4 linked regions of the Lonchura striata genome follow. The protein of the gene in region 3 purifies or fractionates together with the protein of the main gene of each other region. This does not show direct contact. Links are inferred from orthologs where the notes say so. Each region holds a gene or a part of one and is shown on either strand. Other genes may lie near its edges. The genes, in order: TNRC6C, LARP4, RACK1 and IGF1R.

The links.
Region 1: the proteins of RACK1 (region 3) and TNRC6C purify together in Homo sapiens (affinity purification with mass spectrometry; 3 studies listed by BioGRID and IntAct, counting the BioPlex papers as one, with this or other methods). This does not show direct contact. The link is inferred for Lonchura striata from reciprocal best matches to the Homo sapiens genes RACK1 and TNRC6C.
Region 2: the proteins of RACK1 (region 3) and LARP4 purify together in Homo sapiens (affinity purification with mass spectrometry; 3 studies listed by BioGRID and IntAct, counting the BioPlex papers as one, with this or other methods). This does not show direct contact. The link is inferred for Lonchura striata from reciprocal best matches to the Homo sapiens genes RACK1 and LARP4.
Region 4: the proteins of RACK1 (region 3) and IGF1R purify together in Homo sapiens (affinity purification with western blotting; 4 studies listed by BioGRID, with this or other methods). This does not show direct contact. The link is inferred for Lonchura striata from reciprocal best matches to the Homo sapiens genes RACK1 and IGF1R.

Annotation. Positions count from the first base shown.
Region 1 is NC_134621.1:3,508,446-3,516,000, forward strand, and holds the start of TNRC6C (trinucleotide repeat-containing gene 6C protein), read left to right. Parts: upstream 1-4,545; 5' UTR 4,546-5,698; intron 5,699-7,555. UniProt on the Homo sapiens protein: Plays a role in RNA-mediated gene silencing by micro-RNAs (miRNAs). Required for miRNA-dependent translational repression of complementary mRNAs by argonaute family proteins.
Region 2 is NC_134629.1:8,867,760-8,874,703, forward strand, and holds the start of LARP4 (la-related protein 4), read left to right. Parts: upstream 1-3,930; 5' UTR 3,931-4,025; coding exon of another isoform or gene 4,026-4,043; intron 4,044-6,944. UniProt on the Homo sapiens protein: RNA binding protein that binds to the poly-A tract of mRNA molecules. Associates with the 40S ribosomal subunit and with polysomes. Plays a role in the regulation of mRNA translation.
Region 3 is NC_134631.1:304,621-312,199, forward strand, and holds the start of RACK1 (small ribosomal subunit protein RACK1), read left to right. Parts: upstream 1-4,567; 5' UTR 4,568-4,679; coding exon 4,680-4,788; intron 4,789-6,750; coding exon 6,751-6,922; intron 6,923-7,579. Other genes in the region: uncharacterized protein LOC144247616, read right to left, coding at 146-166, 450-470, 997-1,017, 2,330-2,339. UniProt on the Homo sapiens protein: Scaffolding protein involved in the recruitment, assembly and/or regulation of a variety of signaling molecules. Interacts with a wide variety of proteins and plays a role in many cellular processes.
Region 4 is NC_134613.1:20,974,197-20,982,188, forward strand, and holds the start of IGF1R (insulin-like growth factor 1 receptor), read right to left. Parts: upstream 3,002-7,992; 5' UTR 2,690-3,001; coding exon 2,596-2,689; intron 1-2,595. UniProt on the Homo sapiens protein: Receptor tyrosine kinase which mediates actions of insulin-like growth factor 1 (IGF1). Binds IGF1 with high affinity and IGF2 and insulin (INS) with a lower affinity. The activated IGF1R is involved in cell growth and survival control.

The sequences.
Region 1 (7,555 bases), on a different chromosome or scaffold from region 3:
TCCAGTGCAGGGTAAAAGGTGAACTGCCAGACTCCTGTGATGATGATCACCACAGTGGGTTTGCTGATGTGAAATGTTTTTGCAAGGCATCAGGAGGAACATGGGGTATCAGGTTTTTTTTTCAGGAGCCCTTTCTGCTTTGGGCCAGTGCCATGGAGAGGACATTTCATAGCTGGGCACAACCACTCCGATGTGGAGGTGTCACAGCAGGGCATGGTCCAAGCAAGTGGGAAGAAAATGTGGGGAAAGAGATGTAAGTTGTGAAAGTGAGTTTTTCCAATAAAAAGTTATGTACAAGTTCAGTACAGTTCATGAATGGTTGAATCAAAGACCTTTGAGGTCTTTTCCAATTTAGCAATTCTATGATTCTATTTAAGTGCTCACCCTAAAGACACCATTTGTGGTTGGGTGGCCAGGAGGGATGTGGATGCACCCTTCAGAGGGACTTTGTACAAATGGCTTGCACATTCATATTTTCCTTGGAAAACTTGAGAAGAGCCTGTGGTGTCCTGGATCCTGAGTGATCCTGCCCATCCAACCTCTGAGCATCACCTCAGGAAAGGGAGAGCCTTGGAGCTGTAGCTTCACTTTGTGTGGGCTCTGGGAAATCCTGTTCAGCATCAGAGACTGGATTCTCCTTAAGGAATGGGGTTGTTGTTTTTGTCACTGGAGCAGGGCTTTGACTTTAATTTTTTGTGTGCTTGTTATTGCTGGGTAAGAAGTGCAAGGAGTGCTTGGTGACAATTCTGTGCTTGGTTGGATGATACAAAACCAAGCAAGAGACATCTCTAAAATCTACGCTGGAGGAATATTTTGCCTGGGTGTGGTTGAGCCACCCAACACAGCCCTAAACGTGGGAAGACCTTTGCTTAGCTGGGCTTTGTCACTCTCAGCAGAGCAAACGCTGCATCTGTGTGAGTGCCTGGCTCTTTGTGCTCAAAGCCACCCACCTAACACACCCTGGGGACACTTTGGTCACAGCTTTTCCCTGACAGACTGGGTTAGTGGAGGTTTACGAGGCAGCACTGGAATTCCTCCTGCTCTGGGAGCACTCATGCGCTGGCATCATCTGTCCCTCTGCCTCCCCTTCACACCAGCTCACATCTGCTCTTACTCACATGTGACAAAAGCCACTACCTGAGCACTGGGGGCAGGAGAGCCTTCCAAGGCAGCAGCAGCTGCCTGGAGCCCTGGTTCTGTGCTGGAGCAGCTCTGGAAGAACACAGCTCAAGGAGAAGCCCGTGCCCTGCCAGGGTGCTGTCAGCTCAGGGCAATGAGGGGACAGATGCACCATGCGTGGTGACAGCAGCCACCAGCTGCTGACACCAGGTGACAGAGCCTCAGATGATGCTGAGGATCTGTGCGAGCCCCCAAGGAGAACAACCAGGGGAGTGGGAGGGCAAAACCCCAGTGGGAGACCAAAGCAGGGGGAAAAATAAAAATTACATTGGATAAAGCCCTGTGTTCAATGGTAAAAAAGCTCAGGTAAGACAGGAAAAGTTTAGTAGAATGTGTTTTTATCTGTTAAAGACAGTATTTTGGGACAGGGGTGACAAACACAACAGGCTTTCTGTGTCTGTGGGGCTGTGGTTATAGCATGCTTTTGATAGTAATTTCTCCAGGGCCAAGAAAAGAGATTAGTACACAAATCACTTTCAGTTTTATTCCATTTTGACATTTCAGGGTCTCCAGCAACTTGGCACCACTCTGCAAAGCCAGAAATATTTGTGTGGCAAAAATGTGTTTTGAATTACAAATATTTCAACGTTCACAACATGTAACATAGGAGACCAGGAACATTCCTTGGCACAATTGCCAAGCAGAGGTTTTGGTGCAGGGCAGCCTCCTGTAGGTGCTTGTAGTGCCATAAGCATGGCATGTGGCTTCTTCTGTTCTGCTTCTTGGAGTGGCTGGCTGATCAGGAGAGCAAAAAATCTCCTTGGAAAGCAGCAGTGGAAAATCCCCTTGGAAAGCTGCTGCAGCTCCGGGGTGGGTTTGGAAGGAGTCTATAGGTGCTGACCTACATTTAAGTAAGGAGAGTGAGGGGAAGCTCAGCTGGCCCTTGGGATGACACAAGGGCATTTTCCCTCCAAGCCAGGTCTGTCACCATCCTGGCGTATGAATTCATTCCCGGTGAAAGGTGCCAGACTGACATTCAAAATATGGGGAAAAAAAAAAAAAAAAAAAAAAAGAGCCTTCTTCTTAATAATTCTTTCTCTTCTTTGTGCTGATGAAATACAATGGGACATTTAAATCTGATTTTTATAACATTTTGCATTGCTATAGATCATGGTCTGACCTGGAGAAGACACTTTGTTCTGACTACAATGATCTGATATTTCATATTTTAGTGGCTTTTTTTTTCTTTTTTTTTTTTGTCTTCCCCACAGTATTTCTGTTGCATTCTGGCACAATATGGGCTCCCTCCAGTGGTCAAGGGGCTCCGGGCTCCTGGTGTCGTTTGCCCAGAGGCTGGCACAGGGTGGCTTTGGGGCTGGCATCACAAATTCCAGCGGGAATCGTACCGGGACCGTGCTTCTGTCCCCTCGAATGCCCCGCTGCGGGTGCCAGTCCCCGGCAGCATCACCAGCCCTGCCCGGTGAGCCCTGCTCCGCTCAGATTTCAGCGGAACAGCCCCAGCGGATAAAAATCCACGCTCTGGATTTCCTTGCACTTCCCAAAACGTTCGCTGCAGAAGTGGGGAGAGGAAACAGGAGAGGAGAGAAAACCGGAGATCTGCTGGAAAGACCCAGACACAACAATTTTTAGCAAAGAAAAAAAAAAAGACTAATTTTTTGCATTCCGCTCTTCCCGCGGTATTTTGAGACCAGCTCCTGACTTTCTCCTGACAGAAGCAGCTAATGTGGTTGTTGTGGGGGACAAGCCAGCCGCTGCCACTCTGAAATGTGACATTTCCATCTCCCCTCCCCGACCTGCGCAGCTCCCCGGGCTTGCTCAGCCACGGGCGCGTTTCAAACACCGGGATTGTTTTTGGAGGCGCCTGGGTAGAACGGGGATCCCCTCCGAGGGCCGAGAGCCCTGCATGGGTACCCCGGGAGTGTCACCCAGGGGTGTCCCTGCAGGTGTGCGCTCACAGCTGGCACAAAGAGGGGGGCTCCCGGCAGCTCGGGGTGCAGCAGGAATGTGTTTAACCCCCTTTTCCACCGCTGTGTGTGTGAGAAAGCACTGATGCCGTTTCCCGGGTGGGGATGACATCCCTGTACCCCTTTGATTTGACACCCACGGGTGGGGGTGACCTCCCTGTACCCCTTTGATTTGACACCCACTTTCCTGTATGGGGGGTGTCCCCCCCGTACCCCTTTGATTTGACATCCACTTTCCTGTATGGGGGGTGTCCCCCCCGTACCCCTTTGATTTGACATCCACTTTCCTGTATGGGGGGTGTCCCCCCCGTACCCCTTTGATTTGACACCCACTTTCCCGGGTGTGGGTGACCCCCGCTGTACCCCTTTGATTTGACACCCACGGGTGGTGGTGACATCACTGTACCCCTTTGACCCCCACTTTCCCGGGTGTGGGTCCCCCCGTACCCCTTTGATTTGACACCCACTTTCCCGGGTGTGGGTGACCCCCGCTGTACCCCTTTGATTTGACACCCACGGGTGAGGGTGACATCCCTGTACCCCATTGATTTGATCTCCCCGTACCCCTTTGATTTGACACCCACGGGTGGGGGTGACATCTCTGTACCCCTTTGACCCCCACTTTCCCGGGTGAGAGTGACCCTCCCTGCACCCCTTTGATTTGACACCCCCTGTACCCCTGTTATTTGACCCCCACTTTCCCGTGTGGGGGTCCCCCCGTACCCCTTTGATTTGACACCCACGGGTGGGGGTGACCCCCGTGTACCCCTTTGATTTTCCCCCCCGTACCCTTTGATTTGACCCCCATTTTCCCGTGTGGGGGTCCCCCTTTGATTTTTTTTTGGGGGGGAGGACCGAGCTCTCCGCCCCCTCCCCCCGCGGGGCGCGGGCTGGGCGCGCGGCGGTGGCGGGAGGGCGCGCGCCTCGGCGCGGAGGGAGGCGGTGGGGGGCGTGGCCCGCGGCGCGCGCGCGCGCTCATTTGCATAGGCGTCGGCCTCGCCGCCCGTTTGGCCGCGGCCGGCGCGCTCATTTGCATCCGCGTCACGTGGGGCGGAGGGCCGGGCCGGGGGCGGGGCCGGGGGCGGGGCGGGGGGGGCAGCGCGCGCCAGCTGCCGTTGGCGGCCGGCGCGGGAAGGGGGCGCGCGCGCGCGGAGCCGCCCCGCGGTCTCGCGCTGCCTGGCGGGGCTCTGTCAGTCAGCGACAAAATGGCCGCGGCGGCGGCAGCAGCAGCGGCGGCGGCAGCGGCGGCTCCTCGCCTCCCCAGGGCGGCACCGGCGGCGCGGAGGAGCGGGGGATCGTCCCGGCAGCACTGAGCCCGGCACCCGCCTGCCCTTTGCGAGGCGAGAGCGAGCGGGAGAGAGAGAGAGAGAGACGGCGAGCGGCGCTGCGTTCCCCCCCCACCACCCCCTCCCCCTTCTGCATCCCGGCGGACCGACCGAGCCTGCCCGAGGCGCTGCTGCGGCTCCCCGGGGACACGCCGCCCCGCTGCCCAGCCGGATCCCTGCGGAGGACACGGAGAGAGCCGCGGCATCGCCCCCCTCCCGCCTGCCCGCGGAGCCCGCTGCGAGTCCCCGCTCCCTCCTCCCTCCGTGAAAAGACTTTGCTGGATCCTCCTCCCCGGGTCCCCCCTCCCCGCGCTCGCCGCTTCCTGCGGGAGCGGCTGCTGGATCCTCCTCCCGGCCCGGATCGCCCGCGGGGTCCCTGCGGAGCCGCGGACCCTCCTCCCCCGGCGGGGACAGCGCTGGATCCTCCTCCTGCCCGCAGCCCCATGCCAGGCTCCGCATCCCCCCGTGCCTCCCGCCCTGCTCTTTGAGGCTTTTTGCTTTTTTTTTTTTTCCACCACCACCACCCTCCTCCTTTTATTTTGAAGGGGGGATCCATCTTAAAACTCTTTTTCTGGATCCCGGTTTCTCTTTTTTTGATTTGCACTTTTTGAAAAACCCTCAGATGCTCCTCCATGTGGACTGAGAACCCATCAAGACACACACACCAGAACTCATCCCGATCAACTCCAAATCCTGGCTTTCCGTGGGTTTTGCTGCAACACATGAAAGCAAACTTGTATTTAAGACACACTCGTGCAGAAATTTAGCTGGGGACTTGAACGTGTATTTTGTCTTGGTTTCTTGGTCTTGGTTATTTTTTGTTGTTTTTTCTTATTTTTTTATTTTGCTTCACTGGAAATCAAAAGCTTGTTTTGGAATTGGACCTGCTTTTGCTGCACTTCTCCTCTGGGCTGGATAACACTGAAGCTCCTTGCTTTTCTACTTGGATAGTGTTTTCCTGTTGATCTGCTGGGGTTTTTTTTTCATCTCCTGTGTGGCAGACTTTTTTTTTTTCCCTGAGGGGGGTAAACAAACGACGACAACAACAAAAAACTTATTTTTTTTGGCCGTGTGAGATTTTTTTCGTATTCATATTCGTGAAATTACGGGTACATTTACAAAAAATTAAAAAAAAAAAGAGAAGCATTAAAGATAAGAAAGGAACACGTCAGAAAGACCCCTACACGGTAGACAAAATACTCACTTGTTTCCTTACAGCAAGACTGAATCGAAAGCTGCCAAAGAGCCCCATAAAGAAAAGACTAAAAGGTAAGAACGGGTAAGAGCCTTTCTTAATCTGGGCACGATAGAAGTTAGCAGGGGAAGAGACCTGCAAAACCTGTGCATTCCTCCTTTTTCACAAATCTAAACTAGATTATTATTATTATTTTTAAATTGTTTATTAGTCAGCGAAGCAAGGAACACCCCCAAACATTTCAAAATCCCTTTTATTTTTATACGATTTTTAAAAAAACGCGAACAACCTCCGGATTTTTTTTTAATGGTAGAATTAATTCGGTATTTTTCCTCTGTCCGGAATCGCTGTTTGGCCACGAAGAGCGAGCAGAAAGTGCCATTTGTGAGCATGTTGTGCCATTCAGACATGACACGAAGGCAGCTTCTGCTGCAAGGCACGACCGTGTGCTCTTGCTTTTTAGAACTTACACGTGTGAAAATTATCGCAGAGCGGCTTGGAAATGATCCCAGGGCTGGGAAATTGTGGGCATGGCCAGCAGTGCTGCCCTGTGGGCGAGCACATGAGCTCCAGCTTTGTCCTTCATGGCTGCTTTCTCTTAAAAAGTTAAAATGTTCAGCTTTGGTTTATTTTTCCTCTTTTCCCCCTCCGCCTAATGAGATTGTGAGGATCCGCAGTCATTTTCTCCTGAGTATCCACAGAGAGATCTTCGTCTAAACCTGGAATGTCCAGGGGGAGAGAGAATATTAAACTGAGTTTATTCCTTTAACTGCGACGCAGGAGGGGAGGAAAATGGGAAGGGCTCAGTTGTTAACCTGAGAAATCTTGAAACGCTGGAAGTTTATTAATTGTTCGAGGCTTCTTTGTTTGTATCACAAGTTTGTGTCAAAGGTTAATCTTCTTAATATGTAATTAGTTGAAGGTTCAATTATGGGATTTATTGAACTCAATTGGGTTTCCCCCCTCTTTTCCCATTAAAAATAATACTGCAGGTCTTTGTGACTAGTTTATTTTCTGCTACAACTCGAGTGTATCTGCGAGAAGAGATTTATTCAATTATTCTAACAGCCAGTTTAAATTTAGAAATAATCTTTGGGACGTCATACCCGTGTCTGTTGCATATTTTCCCTTCTCGTTTGCATATGTATGTATCTGGCGAATTATGCTAATTTATGTACAGAAATTTGCTGTGGACATTAGGCCGGTTAAGGTAATTAAAATTCCAATAAATCCCGCTGTTAGTGGTGCAGAGCTTTAAATCAGGTGGGTGTCGGTGGTGCTGTGGACCTGAGGACAATGCCAGAGCGGAGGACCAGGAGAACATCTGCACTGCTGCTGGATGCGCTGGGAGAGCCAGGCATGGCTTCCAAATCCTGCCCTCCTTCCCGGCGGTGGGTGGGGTTTTTTGGGCTTTTTTTTGGGTTTTTTTTTTTCCTTTGGATTCCCCGACGACTGAGCATTTAAAAGGAGTTTCCTCTCGGATATTACATTTTTTAAAAATAATAATTTCGAGAAGGCAGTGGGAAGGTACACACGGGTTCTCACTGCTTCCCCTGGTGTTTTCCAAGGAAATAGGAGGTGACTTGCAGTGGGTGCAACCTGTGCTTAGCATATCACGGAATTTCCTTGCTGCAGCCCTGTTCCTGGGGTTCAGGAATCCCTGGGATGTCTGCCTGCCTGCTCCTGTGTGTTATTTGTGAGCTCAAAATGGTGTGCTGAGCAACAGCCCCCGGATGCTGTGGCTTCTGGAATTCTTTCCAGACGTGAAAACATCAGTGTCAGCCCTGGATACCCCAGTGAGGAAGCTGCTCTGGGGAGCACTGTGGTGCTTTTTGGCTGGGATTGCAGAAGCCTTGCTGGTGGATAACCTAACCTGGCTGCTTCCGAGCCCGAGACTCGCAGTCTGTGGGAAAAAAAAAAAAAGCTATAGT
Region 2 (6,944 bases), on a different chromosome or scaffold from region 3:
GGCCAAATGAAAGTCGTGGCTTTAAGGAAGAATTAAAGCCAGATGTTTCCAGCAGCTGCTGAGCCCAGCCTTTTGTGTCGGAGCCACCAAGGAGGCCTTGGCAGCATCTGCAGAGCCCCGTGGTGGGAACACCCTGCAATCCTGCAGGCTCTGCCACGGTGCTGGAGCTCCCTGGCTGCCTGGCAGGAGGCAGCAGGAGCTGAGGCAGAGATAGCGAAGCCAGCTCACCATTTATTCTGTGTCTAAAAATATTTATTCCCTGCTGATAGTGGGGGTGGCAGCAGAGGTGTGGGAAGCAAATTTAGCACATCTGGACAAAACACTGGGGCCGAGAGGTGGTTGAGCCATGTTGGCATCAGCTCTGCAGGCACTGGGCAAGATGTGGGGAGCAGGGACAGAACATCACCCCCGAGCCAGGGACTGGCTTGGACCCCTCAGGTAACCAGCAGATAAATCTGCTGTGCAGGGAGCTCATCAGAGTCAGGGGCAATAAACAATCCCTGCCTTGCTTCTGGTTTTTGTACTCAGCTGGGACAGAAGTGAGCACCCATTCCACACAGTGGAACACCAGGAAAAGGGAAGGTGGCTCCTTATTTCAGCACAGTTGTGGAAGGAGCAGCACTTTGCACTGCAAGGGAGAGCCCAGACCTCAGGACTGCCAGTGGGAGGTCCCAGCTCACACCCAGGAGCCATAAATCTCTCCTAGCACTGCTCCTCCTTCTCCTTGTGGTTTTAACATTCACTCCTGGCTTCCTAAGGCCAAATTCCTGGTGCCCTCTGCTCTCCCCTGAGGTGGAGTTTCCTCTTGCAAAAGCAGCGGTGTCCTTGCTGGCTCTGTTGCTGCTCAGGTCTCTGTGTCATGGTCCTCACATTCCTCCTGCCCCATCCTGAGTGCTGGGATGCTCCTGCTCTAGAGGAGCAGGGGAGATGCCCTTGAATCCAGCTGGGGAATGAGGAATAAATCCATGAGGTATGCCTGAAGCAAGGAAAAGTCAATAGAGCAGAGAGAGGTTGGTGACAGGAAATCCCAGTTTTTACTGGCATGGGCTCACATCAGATAATCTGACTATAACAAGAAAGAAATGGCTCCATATTCTGATTTCATGGAGCTGGGTGGGGGCTGCTGCAGGAAAGGAGCTTCTTTCCTTCCCTTTGCTTGTTCTCAGCCTGGGATTTGTCTCATTTGTGTCCACCAGCTCGCTCTGGAACACCCTGGGCAGGAGGAACGATTGTTCCTGCCGTGATTATTCCAAACCCAGCTGCTGGGAGAAGGCTTTGGGAGCTGCTGGGCTGCCCTGGATGGGCTCGGGGGAGCTGCCCGTGCCTCAGTGACAGCTGCTGACTCACAGCAAAGAACCTGCCCGGGTACAAACAGAGAACTGGTTGTTTCACCTCCCAGCAGGTGACAACAGGACCTGGTCGTGTCCTGGCTTGGGTGGTGTCACTCCCATGTTTCTCCCTTGGCTGACACGGAATTGTTGTCACCCTGCAGGAATTCTTCTCTCACTCTATGCACCAGGCCTGGTTTTCCACCCCAGCCAGCGAGGCTGGGAGTGTTCCTGAGCTGGGAGTGTCCTGCTGACTCTGAGCCTTTACCAGCCGGGGGTTTCCATGGAATGGGCAGAAGAACTGCTGGGAAATGCGCCAATCTGAGCATTAGTGGTAATTTACATCCCAGCAAAGCCTGGCTCCAGGAGTCCTCAGCTCCTGTGGATCTCAGGTGCTCAGCAGGTCTGGAAATGGGGCTAAGAAATGTTCCATGCTGCAATCCCTCCGTTGCTTTGGGAAATCCATTTGGGCACACTCAAAATGAAGGAGCAGCTTTGGGGCTCAGGAGGTTTGTGAGCCAAGGGCCATGCTTACCCTTCCCAGGGGTGTGAGGATGAAGGAGTTAATGGTTGCAAAGTGCTTCGGAGAGGACAAGAGCTCAGTCTGATGGCTTCTCACCAGGGAAGGGGATGAAGAAGAAGAAGTTCTCACTCTCAATGGACCTGTGAGGTCTCACTACATCATGGAATTATGGCATATCCCGAACTGGAAGGGACCCACAGGGATCATCAGGCTGGCAGCTGGCCCTGCACAGACACCCCAACAATCCCACCCTGTGCCTGGGAGCGTTGTTGAAACGCTCCTGGAGCTCTGGCAGCCTCGGGGGCCTCTGACCATTCCTGGGGAACCTTTTCAATGCCTGACACCCCTCAGGGGGAAGAACCTCTCCTGATACCCAACCTAACCCCCCCTGACACAGCTCGAGCTGCTCCCTTGGCTCCTGTCCCCGCTCCCAGGAACAGAGACCAGTGTCTGATGTGACAAACACAGATCTGACAGGGGCTGCTCCCGTGCTGTCCCTGGGGACTGAGGTCAGGCACCTCTTGACAGCGAGAGGATTCCAAAATTCTGCAGTGTGCGAGCCGTCCCCTCCCGTTTCTCCTGCTCCAACTTTATTTATTTCACTTCTGTTTCTTTTTCTTTCACTTCTCCACGTCTTGGAGCTGCTCCCCAGGGAACAGCCAAGGGCCTGGCAGCTGGGCTGTGTTTGCAGGGCAGCTTGTGCTCGGTGTTTAATCTCCTCAGTGGACCCTGATTATTCCCTGGCTCCGACTTATCCACGCGGATCTGCCCAGCCCTAATTGCAGGTGATGGCGTTGGTGGGGTCCCTTGTGGCAAGCACGTTTCTCTCCCTCTCAGGATTTTCATAGAGGTGCACAGAGAGAAATGAAAGAGAAAACAATTTCTATTTCTGCTCCTTGTTTTTCCTGTGTGGAATGTGTTTGGAGAATTGTTTACCTGGGGTGATTGCTTGATTGGATTCTGGTGAGGATTGTTTGAGCCTGGTGGCCAATCCAACCCACCTGGGGCTGGACTCGAGAGAGGGTCACCAGTTGTGTTAGAGAAAGTAGTTTGTAGTTTTAGTATCTTCCTTTTATATAGTATATTGATGTATTTTAGCATAGTTATAATAAAGAAATAATTCAGCCTTCTGAATTGAGCCCGACATCATCATTTCCTCCCATTGGGTTCACCTGCATTTACAATTGTCCCTCCCAGGGCACTGATTCATGGCAACCTGAGGGCTGGAATCTCCATCCTCCACTCACACCAGAGTGTTTTAATTCTCTTACCAAAACCAGCAAATTACACCTCAATGCTCTGTAACACATTTTGTGGGTTTTTCACTAAAGCAAAGCGGTTTCAAGGCGTGTTTTCCCCTCAGAGCATCATTCCTGCTGCTACCATGGGTCTGGGTGGGGAGGGGGGGTTGAAATGCACCAAGTCGTGTATCTTGTGAAGAGTTCTTAATTTGCAAGGAATTTGTACATCATGTATGAGATATATGAATATGCAACAGGCTGTTGCTTTTAAGGTTATTCCTTTGTTCACAAGGTATGTTTTTTCATGACTTAGTGTCTGAGAGCATCTGGACGTCCGTAATTCTTTGCTTTTTATTGTCGTGTAATTGTCCTAACTCTAAATTTTATTACTCTCATTGTAATACCATTTTTATAACCATTATATTATTATTAAATTTTGAAAAATTTTAAAAACCAAGCGATTAGCGTTTTTCACAGGAAGCATAAAGCATTATGAGCTCTTTAATTAGGAAAAAAAAAAAACAACCAACCAACCAAAACCCAAAAAAGAAAAAACAAAAAACAAAACAAAACAAACAAACAAACAAACAAAAAAACAAAACAAAACAAAAAAACACCCAAAAAACCCAAATTCGTGAATTCTCCACAAGGCGGCTCACGGCCCCTTCCACTCCGTCCGCGGGGGACGCCGCTTCCCGCGCGCCGCTGCAGCCACCGCGCCCTCTGGCGGAGCCGCGCGGCGCGGCGGCCGCACCCCCCTCCGCGCTGGAATGGTGCGTGCCGGCCGTGCCCCGGACGCGCTCGGGGCGCCCGGAAGAGGCGGCGGCGGCGGCGGCGGCGGCGGGCGGGACGGGCCGGAGGCGGAGCCCGCGTGTCCCGATCGCCGCTCCGGGCAGCAGCGGGGAGCGCGGGCCCGCCGGCCGCGGCGGCACGATGCTGCTGTTCGTGGAGGTGAGGTGGCGGCGCCGCGCCATGTGGCGGGAGGAGGAGGAGGAGGAGGCGGCGGGAGGCCGCGCACGCCGCGCCGGGGGAGGGGACGGGGCTGACACAGCAGATCCGGCGGTGGCGGCCGCGGGCGGGCGGGTGGGTTTCGGGGAGGCTCGGGGGGCGCTCTGGGAGGTTCGGCCGGGGCGGGGGGCGGCGGAGGCGCCGCCGTGACCTTCGGGGGCGGCCGCGGCCCGGCCGTGAAGGTGACGCGGGACACGCGGGGCCTCCCCGAGGCCTCGCAGCAGCGGGCCCGGCCCGGCCTCTGCACACGCGGGGCGGCCCCGCGAGGCCGGCCGCGAGCGCGGCGCCTCGTTAATTGCGTTAATTAAACGCTGGCGGTGGTTTGCGGCGCGGGAAGCGGCGCGGGTTCTGCCGTTCTCCGGCGCGCCGGGTCCGGGCGGGACGAGGAGCGCGGCCCGGCCCGGCCCTGGAGGTCACCGGGGAGGGCGGGCGCCGCGTCCGCTGTGGCCCGGGATGGGCTTTCAGCTGCTCGCGGCGTTTCACGGGCTCGGTGAAGCGGTTTTAACCTTCGCTGAGCGAACCCGGGTGGCCGCTGTAAACTTTGCACCGAGTTTTGTCCCAAAACGTGCGCGGAGCAAGGAGCTGCCGGGGCCGGGGGAGTCACGGAGGGAACCGGGCGGGCGCTGGGCTGTGTCTGCACGGGAGGGCTCGGCTCGGGGGGTTCGGCTCGGGGGTTTTGTTCAGGGGGGATTCTGCTCTGGGGTTTTGTCCAGGGGGTTCTGCTCTGGGTTCAGTTCGGGGGGATTCTGCTGTGGGTTCGGCTCGGGGGGATTCTGCTCTGGGTTCTGCTCTGGGCTCAGCTCGGGAGGTTCTTCTCTGGGGTTTTGTTCGGAGGGTTCTGCTCTAGGTTCAGCTCTGGGGGTTCTGCTCTGGGTTTTGTTCGGGTGACGGTGAGATAGTGCTGGTGGGCTCGCACACAAACACCAACATGTGCTCCGTGGTTAGGAGCCCCTAAATAAAGCAGTTTGGGAGACACGATCTCTTTCTTAAGTGAATCACCTCAGTTCTGAGCTGGATGTTCCTCGGCTTCGCGGGGAGGATTAAAAGTTGTTCCGAGCACCGTGACAGGCCTGGAGAATTGGGGGTTGCAGGTTCTGCTGGAAGAGGAACTGCTGAGGCTGCTGGGAGGCACGAGCAGCTGCCTCATCCCAGAGAGGCCCCGCACACGAGGCGGCTTCTGGAATGCAGGGATGGAGATGGGGACGGGAGCTGGAGCATATCAGGGAGCACATGGCTGCTGCTGGTGTGGATGGGAGCTGGAGCTCATCAGCATTTGGGAAGTTTAGGGTGGCCTAAAGCACAAACTCAACTCTGGTCTTTCTCTGATAGCGTTGGGAGTTTCTGTGATCTTCATTCTGGAAGCCTCAGTAATATTTAATTATGAGTTCCTGACGATCATATGGATTTTCTGAAGGTTTCTTTTCACTGCCAGGACAGAGAACTGGAGCTCTGAGCTAGCTATCCTGGAGTGCTGCAGTTGGATGCTTGGGAGCAGATAGCAGCTTTATCTGGGGATCTTTGGGGATGCCTGGAAAATAAAGCACAGGACAGGTGGAAGTCCCGAGGTTTTCAGGGGGATTGCTTCAGTTGCTGTAGCTGTCAGTGTTTTAAACTTGGTGATTGTGCCAAGTCCTTCACAGTGCATGAGGGGGAGTTGGGTTTCTTTCAACATCCTTTAGCTCCAAATCTCTGCAGTGATGGCTGTATAAGGCTTGTGCTATTTCGTACATTTATGTTTGGGGCAGGGCTTTTTTCCTCCTCTAAGCCAGGACCTGTGTGCTGTTAACAATTAATAATTAGGTGCATTTGGAATATTAATAAATACATTGAGAGAAATGGAATTGATAATGGGCTGCACTCAGATGGCTATGTGCTCCTAATTCCATATATTTGTAATTTATTGAGGAAATGGGAATCTGTGCGTTTCAGGTGGGTGAAATGCTGCCCATGATGTTTCCTGGTTAGAAATCCAGGACTGTGAGCGTTGTTGGCCCTCTCGAGCAGGTGAGGCTCCCTGTGACCCCACATTCCCCTGTTCACACTCCTCTGACCCAGGTACCACCTGCAGACAGCACAGCTGTGTCTTGGCTTTTCCAAGGGGTGGCTCCTCAGTGGAAAACCCTGCAGCTCCTGCTGGGAGGGATGTTCCTGTGACCACTGCAGTTACGGTGAGGTTGGGAGTTAGCAGAGCACTGAGCTGTTACCTGAAACCTGCCAGCAGCTCTGGAGGAGTTCTTTGTGCTGCTTTGACACCAACTTCTCCTCATCCAGCCTCTGAGTCTGATTCAGCCCCAGGAGGTGATGGTGACTGCCCTCAGAAAAGGTGCTCGGAGCCCCTCAGGCTCCCTACCTGCCTGTCCCCCAGCCAGCACAAGGCTTCTCTCAGCTGCCTCCCGTGGCTTTGCTGACCTTGGGGTTTTTCCATCTGCTTACGTTTCCATTTCTGGAAAAGGGTTCGTTTCTCCCCTCACAAGTTTGGTTAAATTCTCTTCTGGATTTTTTGCTTTGTTTTCTGTTTAAGAGAGTTTGTCTACTCTAGGAAATCTGTCACAAGCTCTGGGTTAGGATTTTGGTTGCAGAACAGTTAGAGTTAATATTAAAATTGAATGCTTTAAAACTCTTTGAGTGCCTGCATTTTTGTTAGCTTCATTTAATCTGGTTAAGTGTAATTTAGATGTAATTACAATAAGAAAAATACCCTTTGCCATGTTTCAGAATGAGAATTTTCTTCAATAACCCATTTTTAGGAGTTGCTGGAGGAGAATCTTGGATCCACATTTGCTGGAAGCAGTGTGAGCGAGCGGGGAAGCTGTGCTGAGGAGAGCTTTGTCAGCTCGTGGATCC
Region 3 (7,579 bases):
AAATTAAAAGGAGAATTAAAATTAAAATTAAAATTAAAATTAAAATTAAAATTAAAATTAGAATTGAATTGAAAATGGAAATGAAAATTTAAATGAAATTGGTTAATTAAGGATTTTAATTTTAATTAACGCGTTCTGTCCGTACCCAGCAGCGCCGTCAGTCTCCCTGCGAGACGAAAAAAATCCAAATTTATCCCAAAAATCTCCAGAACGGACCCAAAATTCTGGTTTTTTAACCCAAAAATCAGAATTTCTAACCCAAAATTCAGAATTTAAACTCAAAATTACGATTTTTTAACCCAAAATTGAGAAATTTTGACCCAAAAATTCAGATTTTTTTAAACCAAAATTCACACTTTTAACTCAAAATTACCATTTTTTAACCCAAAATTACAAATTTTTTTACACAAAATTCAGATTTTTTAACCCAAAATCATCCAAAAACTCACGGATTTCAGCAGCAAGTTTGGCTGTGGAGAAAAAAAAAAAGAGCATTTTTTACCCCAAAATTTGGATTTTTTAACCCAAAATTTACATTTTTTTTTGAACTGAAAATTTGGATTTTTTAACCCAAAATTTGGAATTTTTTTTAACACAAAAATTTGGATTTTTTAACCCAAAATATTGATTTTTTTAAACCGAAAATTTGGATTTTTTTAACCTCAAAATTTTGAGGTCTTTTTTACCCAAAATTTGGATTTTTTACCCCAAAATTCGGATTTTTTTTTGACCAAAAATTTGGAGTTTTCAACCCAAAATTGGGATTTTTTTTTAAACTGAAAATTTGGATTTTTTAACCCAAAAATTGGAATTTTTTTAACCCAAAAATTTCAAATTTTTTACCCAAAAATTTGGATTTTTTTTACCCCAAAATTTGAATTTTTTACCATAAAACTTGGATTTTTTTTTTACCCAAAATCAGGATTTTTTTACCCCAAAATTTGTAATTTTATTTACCCAAAATTTGCATTTTTTCCCCCAAAAATGGGCACTCACTGATTTTCCGCTCGCGTTCCTCTGGGAAAAAAGGGGAAAAAAAGAAAGAAAATTCAAATTATTTCCAAATTTTTTCCTTTTTTGGGATTTTTTGGGTGGTCTCGGAGCATCCGGGCCCAAAATTGGGATTTTTCCCCCCAAAATCGGCCGCAAAAATGAAGATTTTTGGTTGGACTGACTCAGTTTGGTGCTGGAGTCACCTGAAAAACAGAAAATAAATGAAATTAATTAAATTAAACTAATTAAAATTAAACTTACATTAAATTAAATTAAATTAGAATAAATTAAATTAAATTAAAATTATATTAATTATATTAATTATATTATATTATATTATATTATATTATATTATATTATATTATATTATATTATATTATATTATATTATATTATATTATATTATATTAATAATCTGGGGAAATAAAGAATATTAGAAATAATGAATAAGAAAATTAGTAAATAATAAATGTTCAAATTAATAAATAGCAAAAATATAAAATTATAAATATTAAAAATAGTAAATATAAAAATAAGAAATAATCAATATTAAAAAATAATTAATAGCAAAATAAGTAATAAACATTAAAATTAATAAATAGCAAAATTAATAAATAATAAATACTGAAATTAGTAAATAGCAAAATTAGTAATTAATAAATATTAAAATTAATATTTAAAATGTCAAAGAGTAAGTGGGGAAAAATTTGGGGAAAAATTTGGGGAAAAATGGGGAAAAAATGGGAATAAAATTGGGGAATAAATTTGGGAAAAAATGGGAATAAAATGGGGATAAAGTGGGAAAAATTGGGAATAAATTTGAAATAAAAGAGCAAAAAAAAAAGGGAATAAAACCACAAATTTCACTCACCCAGAGCGGAATTTTCTCCTGGAAAAGAGGAAAAAAAGGGAAAATTTGGGTCAGTTTGGGAAAATTCTGGGAATTGAATCAAATTTTCCTTAAATTTGGATTTTTTGGGTGAAAAATAGGGAAAATTCACCCCAAAATTTGAGGAAAATTTGGGATTTTTTGGGTGAAAAATGTGGGAAAATTCACCCAAAAATTGAGGAAAATTTGGAATTTTTGAGGTGAAAAATTTGGGAAAATTCACCTAAAATTTTAGGAAAATTTGGAATTTTTGAGGTGAAAAATTTGGGAAAATTCACCTAAAATTTTAGGAAAATTTGGAATTTTTGAGGTGAAAAATTTGGGAAAATTCACCTAAAATTATAGGAAAATTTGGAATTTTTGGGGTGAAAAATTTGGGGGAAAATTTGGAATTTTTGGGGTGAAAAATTTGGGAAAAATTTGGGAAAAATTTGGATTTTTTACCCACCCGGTTCCATCTCGTCGCTGCTCCTGGAAAGGAAAAAAATTCGGAATTTTGGGGGGGGTGGAAGAATTTTCCAGGAAAATTTGGGAATTTTGGGTATATTTAAATAAAATAAAATAAAATAAAATAAAATAAAATAAAATAAAATAAAATAAAATAAAATCTTTTCGGGCAGAATTGGGGCAAAATTTTTGGGATTTTTGGGGAGATTTTTGGGGGTTTTTTGGGGGGAATTTTTGGGATTTTGGGGCAAAATTTTGGGGATTTTTGGGGAGATTTTTGGGGCTTTTGGGTATTTTTGGAATTTTGGGGGGATTTTGGGGGGTTTGGGGGATTTTTTGGGATTTCGAGGGGATTTTGGGGGTTTTTTGGGGGGGAATTTTGGGATTTTGGGGGAATTTGGGGGTTTTTGGGGATTTTGGGGTTTTGGGGAGGGTTTTTGACATTTTTGGGGGGATTTTTAGTGGTTTTGGGGAATTTTTGGGTTTTTTGGGGGGAATTTTTTGGATTTTGGGGGATTTGGGGGGGGTTGGGAATATTTTGGGGTTTTGGGGGGATTTTAGGGATTTCGGGGGGGTTTTGGGGGGATTTTTTTGGATTTTGGGTTTTTTGGGGGATTTTGGGGTTCACTCACTGACCGGGACAATTTTGGGGTTCAATTTTGGGGTGCCCGGGGCGAATTTTGGGGTTTTTGGCCGAATTTTGGGATTTTGGGGGATTTTTGGGATTTCGGGGGGGATTTTGGGGGGATTTTTTAGGATTTTGGGATTTTTGGGGGATTTTGGGGGTCACTCACTGACCGGGACAATTTTGGGGTTCAATTTTGGGGTGCCCGGGGCGAATTTTGGGGTTTTTGGCCGAATTTTGGGATTTTGGGGGATTTTTGGGATTTTGGCGGGATTTTGGGGGGATTTTTTTGGATTTTGGGGTTTTTGGGGGATTTTGGGGGTCACTCACTGACCGGGACAATTTTGGGGTTCAATTTTGGGGTGCCCGGGGCAGATTTTGGGATTTTTTGGCCGAATTTTGGGATTTTGGGGGATTTTTGGGATTTCGGGGGGACTTTTGGGGATTTTGGGGCAGATTTTGGGGGAATTTTTTGGGATTTTGGGGTCCCCCGGGGATTTTGGGGGTCACTCACCAGCCGGGACAATTTTGGGGTTCAATTTTGGGGTGCCCGGGGCAGATTTTGGGAATTTTTTGGTGGGAATTTTTGGGGGTTTTGGGGGATTTTTTGGTATTTCGGGGGGGATTTTTGGGGGGTTTTGGGGGGGATTTTTTGGATTTTTGGGGTTTTTGGGGGATTTTGGGGGTCACTCACCGGCCGGGTCAATTTTGGGGTTCGATTTTGGGGCGGATTTTGGGGCCCCGCAGGCCCCGAGGCCGCCGAGCCCGGCTGGAACCGGAGCCGATCCCAAAATTAACCCGGGGGGCGGGGCCCAAAATTTGGGGGGGCGGGGCCCAAAATTTGGGGGGGCGGGACCCAAAATTTGGGGGGAAGGGGCCCAAAATTTGGTGGGGAGGGGCCCAAAATTTGGTGGGGAGGGGCCCAAAATTTGGGGGGGAGGGCCCAAAAATTGGGGGGGTGGGGCTCAAAATTTGGGGGGGTGGGGCCCAAAATTTGGGGAGGGGAGGAGCCCAAAATTTGTGGGTCCCTGTAATTTTTTGGGGGTCCCTGGATTTTTTGGGGCTCCCTGTAATTTTTGGGGGGGTCCCTGGGATTTTTGGGGGTCCCTGAGATTTTTTGGGGGTCCCTGGGATCATTTTTTGGAGCTCCCTGGGATCTTTTGGGGGTCCCTGAGATATTTTGGGGCTCCATGGGATTTTTTGGGGCTCTCTGGATTTTTTGGGGGTCACTTGGATATTTTGGGGCTCCATGAGATATTTTGGGACTCCATGGGATATTTTGGGACTCCCTCTGATTTTTTGGGGGTCCCTGGATTTTTTGGGGCTCCCTGGGATCATTTTTGGGGCTCCCTGTGATTTTTTGGGGGATCCCTGAGATATTTTGGGGCTCCATGGGATTTTTTGGGGCTCCCTGGATTTTTGGGGTCTCTGAGATATTTTGGGGCTCCCTGTGATTTTTTGGGCCTCCTGGAACCTTCCCCGAGACCCCCCCCAAATCCCCGCCTCCATTTTCCGTACACCAAAATGGCGCCGCCTCCTTACTCCCCCCATACCGGCCGCCATCATTCCGTACGGAACTGACGTCACTTCCGCTTCTCCCGGAAGCGGCGCCTCCTCTTTCTCCCCGCCGCCGCCTGAGGGGACGGAGGGCTGCGCGCCGAGGCCGCCGCGAACCCGCCGCGAATCCGCCGCCATCCTCGGCGCCGCCGCCTCCATCGGCGCCGCCATGACGGAGCAGATGACCCTGCGGGGGACCCTGAAGGGCCACAATGGTTGGGTGACGCAGATCGCCACCACGCCGCAGTTCCCGGACATGATCCTGTCGGCGTCGCGCGGTGAGGGCGGCCATGGGGATGGAGGGGGGGGGGGGCACCCACGGGGGAAATGGGGCTGGGGGCACCTACAGGGGAAATGGGGGGGACCCATGGGTGAAATGGGGCTGGGGGCACCCATAGGGGAAATGGGGGGGACCCATGGGTGAAATGGGGCTGGGGGCACCCATAGGGGAAATTGGGGGGTGGGAGATGGGGGGGAAATGGGGCTGGGGGCACCCACGGGGGAAATGGGGCTGGGGGCACCCATAGGGGAATTGGGGCTGGGGGCACCCATAGGGGAAATGGGGCTGGGGGCACCTACAGGGGAAATGGGGCTGGGGGCACCTGCAGGGGAAATGGGGCTGGGGGCACCCATAGGTGAAATGGGGCTGGGGGCACCCATGGGTGAAATGGGTGGGAGATGGGGTGAAATAGGGCTGGGGGCACCCACGGGGGAAATGGGGCTGGGGGCACCCATGGGGGAAATGGGGCTGGGGGCACCCACGGGGGAAATGGGGCTGGGGGCACCCACGGGGGAAATGGGGCTGGGGGCACCTACAGGGGAAATGGGGCTGGGGGCACCCACGGGGGAAATGGGGCTGGGGGCACCCACGGGGGAAATGGGTGGGAGATGGGGGAAATGGGGCTGGGGGCACCTACAGGGGAAATGGGGCTGGGGGCACCCACGGGGGAAATGGGGCTGGGGGCACCCATGGGTGAAATGGGGCTGGGGGCACCCACGGGGGAAATGGGGCTGGGGGCACCCATAGGGGAAATGGGGCTGGGGGCACCCATAGGGGAAATGGGGCTGGGGGCACCCACGGGGGAAATGGGGCTGGGGGCACCCATAGGGGAAATGGGGCTGGGGGCACCCATGGGTGAAATGGGGCTGGGGGCACCTACAGGGGAAATGGGGCTGGGGGCACCCACGGGGGAAATGGGGCTGGGGGCACCCACGGGGGAAATGGGTGGGAGATGGGGGAAATGGGGCTGGGGGCACCTACAGGGGAAATGGGGCTGGGGGCACCCACGGGGGAAATGGGGCTGGGGGCACCCATGGGTGAAATGGGGCTGGGGGCACCCACGGGGGAAATGGGGCTGGGGGCACCCATAGGGGAAATGGGGCTGGGGGCACCCATAGGGGAAATGGGGCTGGGGGCACCCACGGGGGAAATGGGGCTGGGGGCACCCATAGGGGAAATGGGGCTGGGGGCACCCATGGGTGAAATGGGGCTGGGGGCACCTACAGGGGAAATGGGGCTGGGGGCACCTACAGGGGAAATGGGGCTGGGGGCACCCATGGGTGAAATGGGTGGGAGATGGGGTGAAATGGGGCTGGGGGCACCCACGGGGGAAATGGGGCTGGGGGCACCCATGGGTGAAATGGGTGGGAGATGGGGTGAAATGGGGCTGGGGGCACCCATGGGGGAAATGGGGCTGGGGGCACCCATAGGGGAAATGGGGCTGGGGGCACCCACGGGTGGGGGACCCCAAACCCACCAAGAATGGCCCAAACCCACCAAGAATGACCCAAACCCACCAAGAATGATCCAAACCCACCAAGAACCACCTCAAACCTACCAAGGATGACCCAAAACCACCCCAAACCCACCAAAAATGACCCAAACCCACCAAAGATGACCCCAAACCCACCAAGAAGCACCTAAAACCCACCAAGAATGACCCAAACCCACCAAGAATGACCCAAACCCACCAAGAACGACCTCAAACCCACCAAGAATGACCCAAACCCACCAAGAATGACCCAAACCCACCAAGAACCACCTCAAACCCACCAAGAATGACCCAAATCCAACAAGGATGACCCAAAACCACCCCAAACCCACCAAGAGCCACCCCAAACCCACCAAGAATGACCCAAACCCACCAAGAACCACCCCAAACCCACCAAGGATGACCCCAAACCCACCAAGAACCAAGGATATCCATGGAGGTGACACCCCCCGCTTGTCCCCACCCCAGACAAGACCATCATCATGTGGAAGCTGACGCGCGATGAGACCAACTACGGGATCCCGCAGCGGGCGCTGCGCGGCCACTCGCACTTCGTCAGCGACGTGGTCATCTCCTCGGACGGGCAGTTTGCGCTCTCAGGCTCCTGGGACGGGACCCTGCGCCTCTGGGACCTCACCACGTCCGTTTTGGGGTTCCACCTAAAATTTGGGGGTCTTTAGAGAAGGTTTTGGGGTCCCACCAGGGTCAGAATTTGGGTAAATCCCGAATTTTTGGGGTGGGATTGAGAAGGTTTGAGGTGTCCACCATCCTTTCTTCTCTGGGATCTCACTACGTGGGTTTTGGGGTCCCACCAGGGTCAGAATTTGGGTAAATCCTGAATTTTTGGGGTGGGATTGAGAAGGTTTGAGGTGTCCACCATCCTTTCTTCTCTGGGATCTCACCACGTGGGTTTTGGGGTCCCACCAGGGTCAGGTTGTCCCAAAAGTTGGGGAAATTTGGGATTTTTGGGGTGGGATTGAGGTGTCCACCATCCTTTCTCCTCTGGGATCTCACCACGTGGGTTTTGGGGTCCCACCAGGGGTTTTGGGTCTCACCAGCGTCAGATCATCCCAAAATTTGGGTAAATCCCAAATTTTTGGGTCGGAATTTGGGATTTTCGAGCTGCTCGCCCCTCTCCCGATGATTAGACCTGACGTCTCCATCCGATCCCACGGGATCTGACGACACGTCCTGCAATGATGATGGGAGAACATTTCGGGGGAGCAGCCCAATTTTGGGCAAAATTTTGGGGTGTCCCAGACAAGAAGACCATCATTTATGGAACCGAACTCATCCC
Region 4 (7,992 bases), on a different chromosome or scaffold from region 3:
CCACTATTATGGGGAGAGAGAAGAATATGAAGAGATGTAAAACATCTGCTCTGGAGATCATTTTTCCCCCTAACAGCAAAATTCTTTCAGCAATAACTCGTGAAAACAAAGGCTATTAAACTGTAAACTACAAAGGCAATCGATTAGAGGCAGTATTCAGCTAAGACAAGTTTTTCAGCATATCTTCCCGTATTTAAATGCCTGGATCTTCTTCAGAAGATATTTCATTTGGGATGTTCATTTTAGGTAAGTGGTAACCACAAACACTTCAGAGGACTAGAACCTAAAATCCTGACATACTCTTCCTGCGTTACTTCATTGTTGGGTGAGCATTTTTATTTCAAGGTACTTTGTACCAGGTAAGACAAGGAAAACAATTCTAAGTGTGTATCCTAGCAGTTTAAGGATGCATCAAATCTCCTCCTCCTCCTGTTCTGTTTCTCCACACTACTGGATCCTTTGTAAGCCCTTCCCTGAAGAAGGGCACGGGGGTTTTGTTTTTGAACTTAAAGATTAATCTCCCTTCTTGAAAACAGCTCTAGCCAAAAAGTTCAACTCATGGAAGTAAGACTGCAGCTCTCCAGCCGTAGCTGGCCCAAAAGCCTAGACTGGGCCTTAATTTGCAAGGAGTTAACAGGCATTTACTGCCTAACGAAACATAATTATTACTCAACATGCATTACAGGCTCCGTCTATGTGCTTCTTGCTCACTTATCTTTTTTTGTGTACTTGGCCTCACTGCCAGTGCATCCAAAGAACTTCCCTTTCTTTTCAATCTGAAACCACTACTTGTAGAAAAGCCCTCCTGCCTCCTGAATTCCTTCCCTTTACATTTAAAATGGAGAAATCTGATCTCCTCGTTCCTTCCCTCCAACAGCGCATATCTTTCTGAAAGGGAGAGGCACACAACAGCTCCAGGAGTGTATTGAAAAACACACGGCAGAAGAAATTAAAGCATCAGGATGCAGTACAGGAACATCCCTGTTTCTGCAGACGCTGAAGGAGAGGGAGCACTGTTTAAAATGGTTGGGCTCCAAGGCACATTTACCATCTCCCCGTATACAGAAATACTCCAGGAAGAAAAGGGAAGGCTAATTTCATGCAAGAGATCCTCAATCCAGCGTGAGCCCGACATACCAGGAGAAAACCGATCAGCCCCGGGATTAATCCGGCGATGATTGCAGTGTAATCAATGGCAGCGCAGCCCTCCCTGCCCCCTCGATTCCCCCTGCGCCCGAGAGGGGCGGGCACTGCAACACAATCACAGGTTGGGAACGCACAAAAACAAAGTCGGGGCTCTGGCAGCTCCCGAGCGAGGCGGGCGGGCGCGGGGATGGGCAGAGGCTCCGCGGCAGGAGGGAGCCGATCCACGTTCTCCCGGTGCTCCCGGGGAAGCGGCTCGCACGCTGCTCCAACCTCGGCGCTGGCTGCAACACGGCCGCTTGGAAAAATGCATCCCCCTCAGATCGCAGCCCGTTCCGCCATCAAACCTTTCTATTTACGCACAAACGTCAATGTGCGAATTAATTCCCTTTTTAAAATTAACGGCAGCCCGTGACCTTTAGATTGCGGGATGCCGCCGTAATTCCGCACACAGCGAGTGAAACCCCTCCTCGGCGGTAAAAGGCAAGGCGTTCATTTCCAGGAATTCCTCACTCACTACAGCAGGTTCCTGCATACAGCCTCTAAATATTGACAGAGATCAAGCTCCTTCCATGAGGGGGAAAGCGAGCGGAGTCCTCCCCAGCCCGCGAGTGTTTACTACGCAGCTCGCAGCCCTGGCTGCGGCGCCTGAGCGCTGCCCCGCGCTCGGGGGGGACACAAAGGAGGGGCACGGCCCCCTCCGCCGGGCTCGGGGCTGCGGCGCTGCCGACCCGTGTGTACAGCCAGGCAGCCGCCTCCCGGGGAGGAAGGCGGGCATGGCAGGGAGGGAGACGCGCAGCCCCGGGTTGTTAAACGTGCTGGAGGAGCAGACGCGTAACAGGAGGAAAACACGCAGAGCCCCGCGGGCAGGGGCGAGACCCGCTCGGCGCCGCGGCGGGAAACGGCGGGAGCGCCCCTCACAGCCGCGGGCAGGGAGCCCTCGCACGGGCCCCGGGGCCAACAGGGACCCCCACAAGGACAGGGAGCCCCTCGCACACAGCCCAGACACGCAGGGAAGCCCCTCACGCACACACACGGCGAGGGAGCCCCTCGCACAGGGAACCCCCTCGCACACACGGGGAACCCCTTCGGCAGCCCCCTCTCACACACACACACACCCAGGGAGCCCCTCACGCACACACCCAAACACAGGGAGCCCCTCACGCATCCCCACACACGCAGGGAGCCCCCCCCATCACCAGCCCACTCACACACATTCATACAGGGACCCCCCCTCACATACACGCGCAACACCCACATACACACACACACGTTCACACAGGGACACGCACACACACAAGGGAGCCCCCCACACACAAACACCGGTACCCCTCACGCCCCCCCAAACACGCACAGGCAGCCGCCGCCCTCGCCCCCTCCCCGGCAGCCTGACTCGGGGGCTCCCTCACCGCGGGGTGCCCCGCAGCACCCCCGGGCACGCACTGTACTCACTTTCCCCATTTGTTGGCCACAGACAAAGTGCGGCGAAAACGAGCAGGAACCCCCAGACGACGGCGAGGGACCCTCCTCCAGCGCCAGACTTCATTCCTCTTTCTTTAATTGGACAAAATCCCCCTTTCCGAAAACAAAACAAAGCAAAAAGAAGTCCAAAATTGTTCGCTTTCTTTCCTCTCCCCGTCCTCTAAAAATAACGAGCGGCGGAGGAGCAGCGGGGCAGGGTAAATAAATCCACGTTGCCTCAAGAAATGAAGGAAAAAAAAAAAAAGGAAAAAAAAAAAAAACCACGACCCTTCGGAGCGGCAAACCGGAGGGTTGTTGAGGTCCCTGGGTGTTGATCTTCCGGAGCAAGCACACCAAAAATACACAGATATTCACGATGTATTAACGGCAACAACAAGGCATGGAAGCCCCGGGGCGACGCTGTCTCCGGGGCGGCGGGGCGGGCTCGGGGCGGCGGGCGGGGGGCGCCGCCGTCTCCCCTCAGCGCTGGCTGCGGTGGTACATCGTGCACAGGAGCCGCAAACACGAGGCACATCGGGGCTGGCAGTCGGCATCTTCAACCTCCATTTTCAAACACCGCACACACGCACACACACAGAGACACAAAAACTGGGAGGGCCGCGGAGGGAGGGGAAGGGGGGGGCGCGACCCAGACAATCCTATTACAAAACAACAACAGCTCCGCCGTCCCCCCGCGCGGGGACGGGGCTGCCCCGGCGGGATCCCCGCGGCTCCGCTCCCCGCTCCGCCGGGGAGGGTGGGGGGGACACCCCACGCACAACCACCACCCACAACAACACCGCCGCCGCCACCACGAGTCCGGCTGCCTGCAGAGGCTCGAAATGCAGAATTTGGGTCGAAAATGAATTAAAAAGGCTTCCCCCCCTACTCCTCCTCTTCCTCTCCTCGGCGCGGCTGCCACAAGGTCCTTCTCAAAAAAAAAAAAAAAAAAAAAAAAAAAAGAAGAAGGAAAAAAAAAAGAGAAAAAAAAGCCGAATCCAGGACACACACACAAAGCAGCAGCAGCAGCGGCAGCAGCAGCGGGGCGAGCGGAGCGCTCAGCACCCCGCCTCCTCCCCCCGCAGCTCTCCTCTTCGCATCCCTCCGAGCCGCCTTGCCATCGCGGCGGGGGCGGGGGGGAGGAGGACGACGACAACAACAACAACAACAAAAACCACCCAGCGAATTTGTAAATCCTTTTCCTTTTTTTTTTTTTTTTTTTTTTTTTTTTTTCCTTTCCTCCCTTTCCTCCTCTTTTCCCTCCTCCTCTGGGTGCGCGCGCGCTGCGAACCTTCCCCCGGCGCTGCCCAGCCCAAGGCAGGGGGAGGGGGATCCGGGAGAGGTGTGGGGGTGTGGGTGTGTGTATGTGTGTGAGTGTGAGCAGGGGGGGCTGCGGGGGGCGAGGAAGGCGATCCGGTTTGCTGAAGGTCAAACCCCAGGAGCTTGTTGCGAAGGGTCTGTAATTCCTCCGGGGAGGGAACGGGGCGGGGAGGGAGACCGGGGGGGGGGGGAAGGGTCTGCTGCTCTGCTGCTCCTCCCGATTAATTCGCCGCTTGCTTGCAGCAGGGTTCGCAGCGCTCTGCTGCCGCGTCTGCCCCCCCAATCCTCCTCCTCCTTCTCCTCCGCGCTGCCTCCCTGTGCACGACGGAGAGCGAGCGCTGGTAAACAAGAGCTCGGCGTCGCTCCGCCGGCGCTTCTCCGCTCTGCGGCCGCGCGGGGACGGGGCTTGCGCCCGCCCGCCTTCCCTTCCCTTCCCTTCCCTTCCCTTCCGCGCGCGCTCCCGTTCCCCCCCCCGGCTCCCCCCGCCCAGGCGGCGGCGCCGGCGGCGCGCGCGGAGGCGGCGGCGGCGCGAGCGAGCGCCGAGAAAAACCCGGAGCGGAGCGGAGCCGGACCGGGAGGATGCTGCACCTCGGGATGCTGCGGGGCCGCCGCCGCTCCTGCCTCTGCCCCGGCCTTCCCAAACCGGGAAACGGCAGCAGGAGACCTGGGGGATATGCAGCGAGCATCCTGCGGGGCGGCGGGAGAGCCCACGAGCGAGCCCTGCCAGTGGAAACACTGCTATGTTCCTGACAAATAAATAAATATATTCAATTAAACATATAAAAAAGGCAGGGATGGGATTAGGAGGAAGGAGAAATCCATAGCTGTGATTTTTGCATGGCGTGTTTGTTTATTTATGGCATTTAATGGAAGCTGCTCCTCAGTTTCATACTGAGGACAGGGCCAAGGGCTGAGCCCGGAGCGCTGCTCCCAGGGATGCGGGTCAGGAGCGAGGGACAGGGATGCCAAGGCTTGGCCCAGTGCAGGCGACAAACCACGGTGGAACACGCCCCAAGAGCACGCCCCCATTCACACTCGCCATCCTCTCCTCACACGCTCACCATCCCCATCCAGCCCTCCAGCATTGTCACTCCGTTTCTCAGCTGCTCACTCGTACCCCTCGATGACATTGGGCACCCAGGCCCCAAATGATGGGGACATGGGATGAGTTGGAGCAGAAAAGGTTTGGGCTTTTCAGACTCGGAAGACATGGGCCGTGTTCCCGCTGTTTCGCTGGAGCTCGTAGTAGCCATGCTGTACGGCATATGGGTGTCCTGAGTAATCACAGATTTGTTGCAATACTTTGGCATGGGGAGATAGCAAAATGATGCTGAAGTATAAGAAAGCAGACATCTGTGAGCATTAGCTATATTCTAGGCTGTTGGTTGTTTTTTTTTAAAAAAAGTACATTAAGAAATTCGCAAATGTCACATTATTAATGCAAATGTCAAAATTAAGTTTTTACATTTAAACCTGAATTCTTGAGCATCTTGTATTACAATATCCTTCATTGACACTACCCCATCATTTCCAACAACCTTGTACTGTACGTGTTTTTCTTCTTGTAGTTTTCCCATCCATTCTTCTACTGTTTGCCTTGTGAAAATGGTCCTGTTGTCTGAATTACTCATTAGCTCTTGTACTCCTTAGGAAAGATGGAAATGTTCAATTCTGTGTCACAGAAATTGAAGGGAAGATCCTCACTGAGTACAACAGGGCTAGGATTGCCACATGAGCACACCTATGCAGGACTCTGTCAATAATTCAAGAATAACTCAAAACTATAACCCTCCCGAGATTCCCTGTAGGAAGATCAGACATTTTCACCTGAAACCATCCTGGACTGCCACATGTGTGGTTGGTTGATTTTATCAACCACACACAGGCTCTCATGTCCTCAAATTGAACCAGAGAGATCTTCATGTGCCATAAATTTTTACTGTTGCTGGGTACAGCTGTGGCTGCTACGGGCGCCGGTTCTGAGCAGAACAAGTGTCCTTTCTATGCATGTCATGGCATTGATGCAGCATAAATTGTAACGTCTTATTTGCCAATTAATGTCTTGCTGTGTAAAGACAGAGCTGAAGTGGGAACTGCGTGTCTATCCTTCATCATTCTGCTGTCATAAAGAACTTTTATTTTTGTCAAATAGCCTTTCTTTCGTTACTTTGGTGAATGGGGTGTCATGGACAAGCCCATTGTACTGGGTGATGTACAGGCAGAGAGCAGAAAGATGTGCTGTGCCCCAAAAGAGCTTCCAGTCTCATATAAACACAGCCCTATAGGTGTTGTAACATAGTTTATTTCTGGAATCTTTTGGATTCTTTTAAAAATTTAAAAAAAATATGGTAATAACAGCACATTTTTGAACAGGAGGTGTTTGCAGTGCTCTCCATCCTCCTGAGCTCCTGATGTGAAATTCATAATTTGTAGTTATCTGGCTGGATTCTGTCAGGATGTCTTTATTTTATTCTGTGGAAGTATGCGGGAGGAATCCCTTTTTCTGTGAATGCCCAGGTGCCCATAGCTCTGGTCTCTTAACCTCTTAAGAGGAGAACTGTGCACAATCTTCAGCTTTCCTCATTCTTTTCTGTGTTGAGCAGCTTCCAGTGCCAGCCAGGCACTTGCACATGCTCAGCTTTAGAGCACCCTTTCAATCAGATCTGGCTCTTGTATGTTGGCATATTTCTCCAGGAAGGCTCCTGTTCTTTTCAGTGGATATATTTAAATCAGGATTTTTCAGTGTGTACAACCACACCATGGTTATATCCTTGATGATGAAAACCTCAAGCACACTGTCCCTGTACCATGTGTAAAATTAAAGTTATAATTTGGACAAATTAAAGTTAATTTTCGTAACAAGGTGCTTCACGAGTAAATCATAAAATGGTGTCTCCTCTTCTCTGTCCTATGGGTTCTACAATCATTCCTCCTCTCTGTTTGCACTAGGCTTTTGCTCCCCCTTTGTCCACTGCTGGTTTATGGTCCCCGAGATAGATGGACAGAAAGAAACACCTGGTTACACACACACATTTTACCCTCTAGAGCGTGATGCTGAATGCCACCAGCATACCTGTGTCCTGTTTAAAATACCACTTAAGTGGAAAACTCAGGAAATGTGGCAGTGGGGATGAAACAACGTGGTTAAAACAGCCACTGACCCCGGTCTCTCAAAACATATATCTGCCCAAGGCAAATATCCTCACACTCAGCCATACTTTTGTTTTAACAGCAGCCTCACCACTGCTTTCTGGGGCCACCACTGGGGAGGAAGAGGCCTCATCATTCCCCTGCCTCGGTGCTCGGACTCCATATAGGCTTGACTAGACTTTATTTTGGCTTCTGCAGCACATTCAGGGCAGCCTGACCTCTTTACCAGACGCTTGCTTGTCATAACCTTTATGCATCTGAACATTTTGTATTACCGGCAGAAGGAGCTGCTGAAATTTGTTCTCCTGCCTTCTCCAGCCGTGTCAGCTCCCCGGGATGAAGGTCAGCCATCACAGAGCACTGCCTGAGTCTGCTCCAGGGGCTGCTTTTTGGAATGTCTCTGCAGCTCCTGGCCCCTGCCGTGGGCCAGCAGCTGAGAGCACCCACTGCAGCCACCTCGCCTGCCCCAGGAGCTGCTGGTGCTGCCAGCTCACCTTGTTCAGCCTCTGCTCCAGGCTGAACGCTCTCCTTGCGGGGAGGTGCGGGTAGGTAAGAGTTCCAGGTGGGAATTGTGCCTGGGTGAGTGATACATCTCTTACACAGCCTGGGGAGTGGGTTTTGTACACCTGAAAGGCAAACAGAAATCCTTGGAATTCACTCTTTCCCCCCCTCCAAATCTCCCCTTATAAAAAGCATTTTATGGACTCATAACAAGCCAGGCAAAATGTGGGTTGCCCCTTTCTACCACGTTTTTCACTTTTTGCCAGTTTTTGCTCTGTATTGAGTCACACCCTGTACCAATGACCTTCACAGGCTCCCGACTGCAGGAGGATGCTCAGTCTCCTCCCTGCAAGGGGACAGGAGCGCAGCACACCTCAGATGGATGCTGGCTGGGCAGGTTGAAATTATTAACTCCTC